Linked DNA regions of Caenorhabditis elegans. The protein of the gene in region 1 interacts with the protein of each later gene in a pairwise test. Each region holds a gene or a part of one and is shown on either strand. Other genes may lie near its edges.

The links. The genes of interacting proteins can lie anywhere in the genome.
Region 2: the proteins of fbl-1 (region 1) and abu-10 interact in a two-hybrid assay, tested with the Caenorhabditis elegans proteins (one large-scale study listed by BioGRID).

Annotation. Positions count from the first base shown.
Region 1 is NC_003282.8:9,539,154-9,545,751, forward strand, and holds fbl-1 (Fibulin-1), read left to right. Parts: upstream 1-1,654; 5' UTR 1,655-1,698; coding exon 1,699-1,738; intron 1,739-1,891; coding exon 1,892-2,127; intron 2,128-2,174; coding exon 2,175-2,328; intron 2,329-2,447; coding exon 2,448-2,600; intron 2,601-2,881; coding exon 2,882-3,139; intron 3,140-3,574; coding exon of another isoform or gene 3,575-3,715; intron 3,716-3,814; coding exon 3,815-3,890; intron 3,891-3,933; coding exon 3,934-4,043; intron 4,044-4,141; coding exon 4,142-4,282; intron 4,283-4,380; coding exon 4,381-4,484; intron 4,485-4,525; coding exon 4,526-4,606; intron 4,607-4,652; coding exon 4,653-4,977; intron 4,978-5,065; coding exon 5,066-5,192; intron 5,193-5,341; coding exon 5,342-5,547; intron 5,548-5,713; coding exon 5,714-5,958; 3' UTR 5,959-6,090; downstream 6,091-6,598. UniProt on the Caenorhabditis elegans protein: Incorporated into fibronectin-containing matrix fibers. Plays a role in cell adhesion and migration along protein fibers within the extracellular matrix (ECM).
Region 2 is NC_003284.9:3,796,651-3,800,252, forward strand, and holds abu-10 (Activated in Blocked Unfolded protein response), read left to right. Parts: upstream 1-1,531; 5' UTR 1,532-1,572; coding exon 1,573-1,614; intron 1,615-1,671; coding exon 1,672-2,013; intron 2,014-2,062; coding exon 2,063-2,239; intron 2,240-2,284; coding exon 2,285-2,371; intron 2,372-2,413; coding exon 2,414-2,503; intron 2,504-2,547; coding exon 2,548-2,661; intron 2,662-2,716; coding exon 2,717-2,992; 3' UTR 2,993-3,091; downstream 3,092-3,602. Other genes in the region: F35A5.8 (SH3 domain-containing GRB2-like protein B1), read right to left, coding at 3,570-3,602.

The DNA of each region.
Region 1 (6,598 bases):
TTAAACGGTTAAAATATAGATATTCATACAAACGAGAAAAGAAATATATTCATACAAACGAGAAAAGAAATTGCCGGATTTTTAACCAAAAATAATCAAATCCTGAAACTTCCCACCATTTTCCCCACTTCCCAATGTTTTTCCAACATTCATGCCTTTGAGTTCAAAAAAGATTTTCATTTTATTTTCTGAATGTGTACCATCACATGTGAACTCATTCCTCCTCCATCGTTTACGATCTCTTTTTACGAGCTCCGCCCTCGAAAATGCTTCTGATCATGTAAACGAAAAGAAAAAAGATGAAGAAGACTGCTGACTGACTGACGATGTATCATTTTCTCACATTGTGTTATGTTGCGATTGAGTGTTAAACTTTTTATTTAGAGGTTTCAAACAGATGAGTCACTTGCCGATTATGAAAATACTGTTTTCGAGTTTGAAAATGTATATAACTTGTAAATATGCAAACTTGTAAAAACTTGTAAAACACTTGGCGTTTATTTTTTATCCATTTTCGTTTCCAACTCTAGAACAAGAGAGAATTTTGGGAAACTCTTGCCAGTATCTTACAAAAACTTTTTTGTGTCGTTGTAACATTGGATAAGACATTGGAAATAGTTGTTCAAACTTGTAGATACTTTGGTAATAGCTTCATAATGGTTTCACAAGTCTAACTCAAACTGTGCAAAAGCTTCACAACTTCTCAACCAAGTCTATTTTTTGGGAAAAAACTGCTCAAGAAGTCAGCTCCAAATTCTGAGTAAGTATGATTGTTGCCCTGAAACGTAAAACAAAAATCGGATAGGTATTTTCCGATTTTAACTATAAATCCACCATAAACCCCGTCGATCAATTTTGCGCTATTCCAATGAAAGACCGTTTTTTTTCAATTTAATATTTTCAAAAACTAAAATAATTCAAATAAATTTTTTGTTTTGGTTTCAACAGTGTCGTTTGCCATTTTTCTGTTCTAAAAATATACCCAAAATCTCACATTTCCTCGAAACATTCCATGTAAACATCTGTTCCAATGCTCCTCCCTCTTCCTTTCAATGCTCATTTGAAATTGTTTCACTTAATTAACCAGACTATTATCCGTGTCATTTACGGGCACATATACATCTACATACATCTCAATAATATTAATAACAATAAGCTTAGATTAGAAAGGAAAATGCGGGAACATGAGACGCAGGCAGAAGCAGATAGATGGGCGGTTCCAAATCGGGAATGTTGGAAAGCTTTTCGATTTAGACACAACGAATTTTTGAGCAAAATGTGATAAGAATAGTAATATGTTGTGCTATTTTTATTGTTATTATTTTCTGTTTTATCATTCTTTTTGCGTCTTGCGTAACACTTATCACTAAACGGCTTTTGTGAGGTTTTCACACGTTTTCATAAATTCTTATCAGTTTCATTGTTTTTATGGGAGTTTTTTCTTTTATTCTTCTTTTTTTAAAAATCTGAAAGTTTTCAGTACAAACTTTTTTTACTTGCCCTGTGTACGAAATATGATCTAAATGAGCACATGATGATGTGATATTATTTGATCTTTCCTCGAAATCCTACTCATTTTCTTTGTGTCGTGCCACTTCCGTTCCAATTCACAACTTTTTGTGTTTCCGTTACAACATTATCTGCTTTCTTACAGAATTACGGAAACCCCGTGGAAATTTTAGTAGATTGGATAGAAATATGCGAATTTGTTTCTTATTATTGGCATTTTTGGTGGCAGGTAAGCTTTTTAAATTTTTTCAAATATTTATTTAAATTTTATGAATAATTAATAAAGAGGGCCCTCAAAAACACTTTGAAAATAGGCCATTTTCTAACATTATCCATAAAAAGAAAACTATCACAAACAACGGGAAACTTTCAAAATTTTCAGAGACCTTTGCCAACGAACTTACAAGATGTTGTGCTGGAGGAACTCGTCATTTCAAGAATTCAAATACTTGTTCAAGTATCAAAAGCGAAGGAACAAGTATGACGTGCCAAAGAGCTGCATCCATATGTTGTCTCAGAAGTTTATTGGATAATGCATGTGACTCTGGTACAGATATTGCAAAAGAAGAGGAGAGCTGCCCAAGTAATATAAATATTTTGGGAGGTGGATTGAAAAAAGTAATTTTAAAAAATCGAATAAAAATATAAATTGAGATGGATTTCAGGAGTGTTGTGATTGCTGTCTTCTAGCCAAAGATTTGCTCAATCGAAATGAACCGTGTGTTGCTCCAGTTGGATTTTCAGCTGGATGTTTGAGAAGTTTCAATAAATGTTGTAATGGTGACATTGAAATCACACATGCTTCCGAGATCATAACTGGTAGGAAAACAGAACATTTTCAATATTATTTCTTTTTAAAAAATTGAAATAATTTAATTCGGAACTTTTCATAAAAAATACCCGATTTAATGTTAAAATTGTTTTTTCATGTTTTACAGGACGTCCACTCAATGATCCACATGTACTTCATCTCGGCGACCGATGTGCGTCATCTCACTGTGAGCACCTCTGTCATGATCGTGGAGGCGAAAAGGTTGAATGCAGTTGCAGATCTGGATTCGACTTGGCACCAGATGGAATGGCTTGTGTAGGTATGAATATGTTTTACGCTTTTTTTTGTGCAGGTCAAAACCAAGTTAGAACTTTTCGAAAATTTAATTTTGAATGGAAAATAATAAAATTAATAGTAAAATACATAGTAAAATTAACATCACACTGTTTATCTGAAAATTGGTATGTATTTTATGCAAATTGGCAGCTTTGATAATTTTCTTTTGTTATTTCACGATTTCAGAAAAAAGTTTTCCCACTTTCACTACATCCATTCCCGGTCCTCTAGCTTACCCACATACCTTTTGTGCTTCTCTTTCAGATCGTAACGAATGTTTAACCCGCCAATCCCCATGTACCCAGTCTGAAGATTGTGTTAACACAATTGGTGGATATATCTGTCAGAGAAGAATTTCTCGTCTTGTTCCCCATCGTCATCGTGCCAATCGAATTGGCAATGCGCCAAGAAGAATGAGAGACGATCCATATTCTCGTGCTGGAGAATATAGAGAAGCATCACAAGCAAATACAGAGTTTGGATGCCCAATGGGATGGCTTTTTCAACATGGACATTGCGTTGGTAAGATAATTTAACAAGAAAATTAAAAAAAAAACAAAATTTAAAAAGTTGTGTGCTTATTGTTTTTTGCGCACTTTAAATTCAAAAAATTAAAGTTTAATCTAATTCTAAATTAACTGTTTCTTGAAATAATATTTGTCGTGTGCTGTCTGTCTAACCCTCAATCCCTAGAATGTTCTCTCCATCATCCATGTTCACATTCTAATCAACATTGTCTACCCTCTCCTGGGAATAATCGTGGCGATGGTTCCTGTGTCTGCAATCGAGGATATTATTGGAGTGATACTAACTCGCAGTGTGAAGGTTCTTGCTTTTTAAATGACTAACTGAATGAGAAATTGGAAGCTATGTTAATTGACAATATAATATTTTTCGAAAATTTTGAACATCACTGACAAACTCGCTTGCTGAAAAACTAACCAAAACTAACTCCAGATATTGATGAGTGTGCCACACTGATGGACGATTGTTTGGAATCTCAACGATGTTTGAATACTCCTGGAAGCTTTAAATGCATCCGAACACTTTCATGTGGAACTGGTTATGCAATGGACTCTGAAACTGAGCGGTGTCGTGGTTTGAATTTTTGTTTCTAATTTTTGGCGTCTTCTAGAAACAATTGCTTTCTGATAATTTTGAATAACACTTTTAATTGTAAATATTTTTTTGTTGAAGATGTTGATGAATGCAATTTGGGATCTCATGACTGTGGACCACTCTATCAATGCAGAAATACACAAGGAAGTTATAGGTTCGTGATTGGAACATTGAAATAAATTCATATTAAATTATAGATGCGACGCAAAAAAATGTGGAGATGGAGAACTTCAGAATCCAATGACTGGAGAATGTACATCGATTACTTGCCCAAATGGATATTATCCAAAGAACGGAATGTGCAATGGCGAGTCTTTATTACATCATATTGTGTTTCAGTTGTTAAACTAAAAACAATTAATGTTTCATAATATTTACAAGGGGAGACTATACTATACTTTCCAGATATCGATGAGTGTGTTACTGGCCACAACTGTGGAGCTGGTGAAGAATGTGTGAACACCCCTGGATCATTCAGATGCCAACAAAAAGGAAATCTGTGTGCTCATGGATATGAAGTTAACGGAGCTACTGGATTCTGTGAAGGTACGTTTTTTATTTGTGACTAATGAAATTTAAAGTTTACTTTCAATTAATATCACTGAAACTCTAAAATATTTAAAACCATAAAATACGGTTTTCAGATGTGAATGAATGCCAACAAGGAGTCTGTGGATCAATGGAATGTATAAATCTTCCGGGAACGTACAAATGCAAGTGTGGACCTGGATATGAATTTAATGATGCGGTAATAAGAAAAAAAATAATCACAAAAAAGATTTATTTCAGAAGAAGAGATGTGAAGATGTTGATGAGTGTATCAAGTTTGCTGGTCATGTTTGTGATTTATCAGCCGAGTGTATTAACACTGTACGAATTTGCTTTGAAGTTTCCTCATTTTCAGTTCACTTTTCAGATTGGTTCATTTGAATGCAAGTGTAAACCAGGATTCCAGCTTGCTTCAGATGGTCGTCGATGTGAAGATGTGAATGAATGTACAACTGGAATTGCTGCATGTGAACAGAAATGTGTTAACATTCCTGGAAGTTATCAATGTATTTGTGATCGAGGATTTGCACTTGGTCCTGATGGAACAAAATGCGAAGATATTGACGAATGCTCAATTTGGGCGGGGTCTGGAAACGATTTGTGCATGGGAGGATGTATTAATACAAAAGGATCATATTTGTGTCAATGTCCACCTGGATACAAAATTCAACCGGATGGAAGAACTTGTGTTGGTTCGTTGAACTTCACTTTCGTGAACAAGAATTCTTGTCTCGAAAATGGTTTTCCAGTTAAATTTTATGACATTGCAAATACTTTTAGATGTTGACGAGTGTGCCATGGGAGAATGCGCTGGATCGGATAAAGTATGTGTTAATACACTTGGATCGTTCAAATGTCATTCCATCGATTGCCCAACTAACTATATTCACGACTCGTTGAACAAAAAGTTAGTTTTTAAAGCTATATAATTTTTGCATAAGCTTACCCTAATTTTTCTTGAAATTTCCCAATTCATGAATAGTCTTAATAGAAAATTGGATGTCTGCAAAGTATCTGAACTAATACGTTTGAATGTTCCACTAACAATATTTTCAGTCGTTGTAATCGTCAACCATCAGCATGTGGTTTGCCTGAAGAATGTTCAAAAGTACCATTATTCTTAACCTATCAGTTTATTTCTTTGGCACGTGCTGTACCTATTTCATCTCATCGTCCTGCAATCACTTTGTTTAAAGTTTCTGCTCCAAATCATGCAGACACTGAAGTCAACTTTGAATTACAATTGAAGACTACTATAGTTGGTATGAATTTTCTACTGACTGTATCTATAGAGACTGCTATTTCAAAAATGCTCTGAAATACACATACTTCAGCATTTCTAAAAAATTAGGAAGTCATATTAGAAGAGTGTTTTTTAGCAGTTTTTCTTGATTACCTTTACGCTAACCCTAGCCCACCTAATTTCAGGTGCTCCAAACGTTCTTCCAGCTATTCGAGCTAATTTTTTACTTCAAAAAGGTGAAAAACGAAATAGTGCAGTTGTAACACTTCGGGATAGTTTGGATGGACCACAGACAGTGAAATTGCAACTTTTACTCAGAATGAGCAAAAAAGGCAAAAACTTCAACACATACGCTGCCAACCTGATTGTCGATGTGGCAGCTCACAAGCGACATAATACGGTTCATCCACCGCTCATGAAGATTCGATAGAAACAATTTTGTATGACTTTGTTTTGTTGATAATGTTTGAATAGTGTGACTTGCTGTGATGATCTCAAAATTTGCATGGATTAATAAATATTTTGATAATGACAATTTCGACATGTTTCGTATAGCCCATCAAGATCGAATAAAATAAAAATATTATTTTAAATATTTCTGAAATGAAACAGTAAATTTAAATTTTTGAATTTACGTCTAAAATATTTTCAGCCAAATTGCTGATGGTTATTCTTGCATCAAAGTGTGCTCAACAGAAGATACCGAATGTCTTGGAAATCATACACGAGAAGTTCTTTATCAATTCAGAGCAGTCCCATCATTGAAAACAATTATCTCACCGATTGAAGTGTCAAGAATTGTTACACATATGGGAGTTCCATTTTCAGTTGATTACAACTTGGATTATGTTGGACAAAGGCACTTTAGAATTGTTCAAGAAAGAAATATTGGTTAGTAGTAGACTATAAACATTAATTTATAAAGGTTTTCATGAGTACATGAGTTATTTTGTAAGTGAGTTATATCTGGAAAATTATGAACTCTGTGATCCTTTCGATAAAAATGATTTTGTATTTTTTTCAATTGATCTGCAGCTCTTAAAAATTGTAAACTATCTTTAAATTTAACT
Region 2 (3,602 bases), on another chromosome or scaffold:
TAATGTAAAACTAGATCACCCTCCCCCCCCCCCCCTCCCAGCAAACTTTTGAGCTCATCCCAATGGTCTGAAAACACGCATAATTCGAAAACGTTCCTCATCACATCAAACGAACATATATTTCAAGTACATGCGTTTTTGCGGGCACACTGATAAAACAGAGCCGGCACAGAGTGCTCACGTACCGGTTCTCGTACGTTGCTCAACTCTCCTGTAACATGACCACCCCTGAGCTTTTAATCCGATTCCGGCGCAACTTTTTGTGCTGCTTTCCTTCATCCTCAGACACAAACATTGCAACCTTTTATCCAGCCGGCAATCGAACTCAACTCAACCCCTCAACCGGTATCTAAAGTAAAGGCAAGCGGTCTGAGTAATGAAGAATGTGATAATTGGGGTTCTTTGTATTTGTTTGTTGGGAGGGAGAAGAATCAACGAGAGATTGTGCAAATGCAACAGCTGAAAGCGTTAACCAGTTTCTCAGCTTGTATTCTTCTATGACGCGGTCTCTATTTACGGACTATTTGCAAATAACGCATCACTTGAACTTTTCAATGCAAGTGTTCGGAGATTGAAAGTTCTGTGTCACTACATTCACGTATTGTTGAAAACTATAACGGATATATTACAAGACGGTCTAGACAAAAATTGGGAAAAAAAGCTCTACTGAAAATGGGATATTAAACTACTACCTTTCAGAAATACTTTCAGAACAATATTACTTGATACAAAAGAAAGATCTTCAAAATAGCTTGCTGGTACTCCAACTAAAAAGATATAATAATCAATTTTTTTTTTACAAATCGGTGCAAAATAGTCGTTCGTTTACTAGTCATGCTTTGAAAAAATTTAAGCTTAACAATGCAACCTAACCTCGATTTTTTTCAAATTAAATTACAATTTCAAATGAGAATAAAGAGAACCTTCTACAACTTGAACATTCTGTGAACTATTGGAAAACACTGGACATTGAATGAAACAAAATTTTTAAACATTCACATTTGCGACGTTGGGCCGTTATTTATTGTCTCGAAAGAGGAAAAAAATGTCTGACAAATTGGAAAAGTACAGTAGATTCAACTGTCACACTTTTTTGTAAAGTAGGGCCTAAAATTAGTAGACTCGAGTTTTGAATTGGTGAGCCAATATCTCTCTTGACACAATTGAAGTGTTTTTAAACTGGTTAGAAGACTAGACTGAAATATATTATAGCTAACATCACTTTGGATAGTATGCGTCTTCGGCAAAATTTCATGTGCGCAAGAAGCCAAAAACAAACAATGTTTATTTGTGTGCACGCATTTTTTCAGCACACGGTTTTCATTTTCTCTGACTAAACTTTTTTCCCCCTCCTTACCATATTCCCACAGGTGCTCTAATCCGATCATAACTACTCATCTGTGTTTGATGCACAATTGAAACTGCCTTCGTTCTTTTTTGTCGCCTGTTCTTGCGCATGCCGGTCTTACCCTCTTGCCATGACTCCTCCCGGCGGGCGCGTATAAATATGAGGAGCAAAAGTTGAGTTGTCAGTAGTAGCTTGGCTTCGAATACTCTCTAACAAAAGCAGCAATGTTCCGCTCTGCATTTTCAATTTTTGCTATTGTCGCCCTGGTGAGATTTCTTTTTTTTTTCATTCCATTTTATTTATAAATTCCCCGCCATTTTCAGGCACTTTCGGCACCAACTCTTAGAGAAAAGCGTCAGGCTTGCTCATGCGCCCCAGTTCAGCAGCAACCATCGTGCTGCCAACAATCCACCATCAATGTCCAGGTTCAGTACACTCAGGTCCAACAAGCTCCAGCTCAAGACCCATGTGCTTGCCAGCCACAGCAGCAGCAGCCTGCGTGCAACTGTGCTCCAGTTCAGCAAGATCCATGTGCTTGCCAGCCACAACAGCAGCAGCCGGCTTGTAACTGTGCTCCAGTTCAACAAGATCCATGCGCCTGCCAGCAACAGCAACCATCCTGCGATTGCGCTCCAGTTCAACAGCAACCAGCCTGTGACTGCCAGGTAGGCTGTTAATGTAAGAGCGACGAATAAAAGTAACCCATCTTTGCAGCCACAACAACAACCAGCCTGTGATTGTGCTCCAGTTGCTCAACAACCAGCTTGTGACTGCCAACAAAACCCATCATGTGTGACCTGCATCCAAATCGAGATCCGTCAGCAACAAGCTCAACAGCCAGCTTGCGATTGTGCTCCAGTTCAGCAGAACCCATGTTGCCAACAAGCTCAGGTACAATATATTTGGTAAATGTTGGATGAACTTTTGAAGTTTCAGCCAGCCTGTGATTGCGCTCCAGTCCAACAGCAACCATCTTGCGATTGCGCTCCAGTTCAACAGAACCCATGCTGCCAACAAGCTCAGGTATGGCATTTTGAACAATTTTTTTTAGTCCGGTAATTTCAGCCAGCCTGCGACTGTGCCCCAGTCCAACAGCAACCAGCCTGTGATTGTGCTCCAGTCCAGCAGAACCCATGCTGCCAACAACAGGCTCAGGTAAATCACACTCCAGAGTTTTCCATTAAGTTTGTGAATTACAGTCAACTTGCGACTGTGCCCCAGTTCAACAGAACCCGTGCTGCCAACAAGCTCAGCCAGCTTGTGATTGTGCCCCAGTTGTTCAGCAAAACCCATGCGCTTGCCAACAGGCTCAGGTAAAGACTATTGCTTTTTGACCAGTAAATTAACTATGGATATCTAAACTTCCAGCCATCCTGTGATTGCGCCCAACAAGCTCAGCCAACCTTCCAAGTCCAAGTTCAACAAGCGCAACCAATCAATCAGTGCGTCCCAGCTTGCCAGCCAGCTTGCCAGTCATCGTGCACCGCTTCGTACACCAACCAACAATCCCAACATTCGTCAGCTACTACTTCCTGCGATGCTAACCAATGCGTATGCCAACGCGGATACGTCAAGTGCGCCGAGCAGACCTGCTGTCTTAGATACAGATACACCAACCGCAAGGCAAAGCGATCGATCGCCTAAACGAACTCATTTCTGACCATGTCTTTCTTTTTCGACTTCACGCAAACTATTTGTACATTTCGGTAATATTATTGCCATTACATAAAGTAGTTTTATATTATTTCCTTTTACACAATGAGTATATGCAATGAAGATATAAATGAAAAAATGATTAAGAATCATTTCTATGATGTTCAAATTACCAATTTTCGTCTAAATTACAACAAAATCACTGAAAAAGATTTGAGAAAAATGCAATTTTCTTTTAGGAAACTCTATTTGAAGTTTGAAAACCAGAAGATTTTCACAAAGGGTTGGTTCTATCATTATCTAAAACAGCAATCGTAGAAGAGATTTGAGAGTTTTCTTCAAAACTAAACTTTTTATATTGTGTTCAATATTGTTAACGAATTTTTGATCTTTAAATTTCCCATTTATTTTAAATCTAAATAACCTATACAATAATAAGCGCATTTGAGGAGTCAAATAAATAGACACATTTCAATTGAGATCTTCCACAATAAATAAGACACCTTACTAAAACATTTTTGGCACATGAACAAAGTACTAAGACAATAAATTAATGAATGCAGCGTTTCTAGAGCAGCTCAATATAGCTGACAGGCAATTT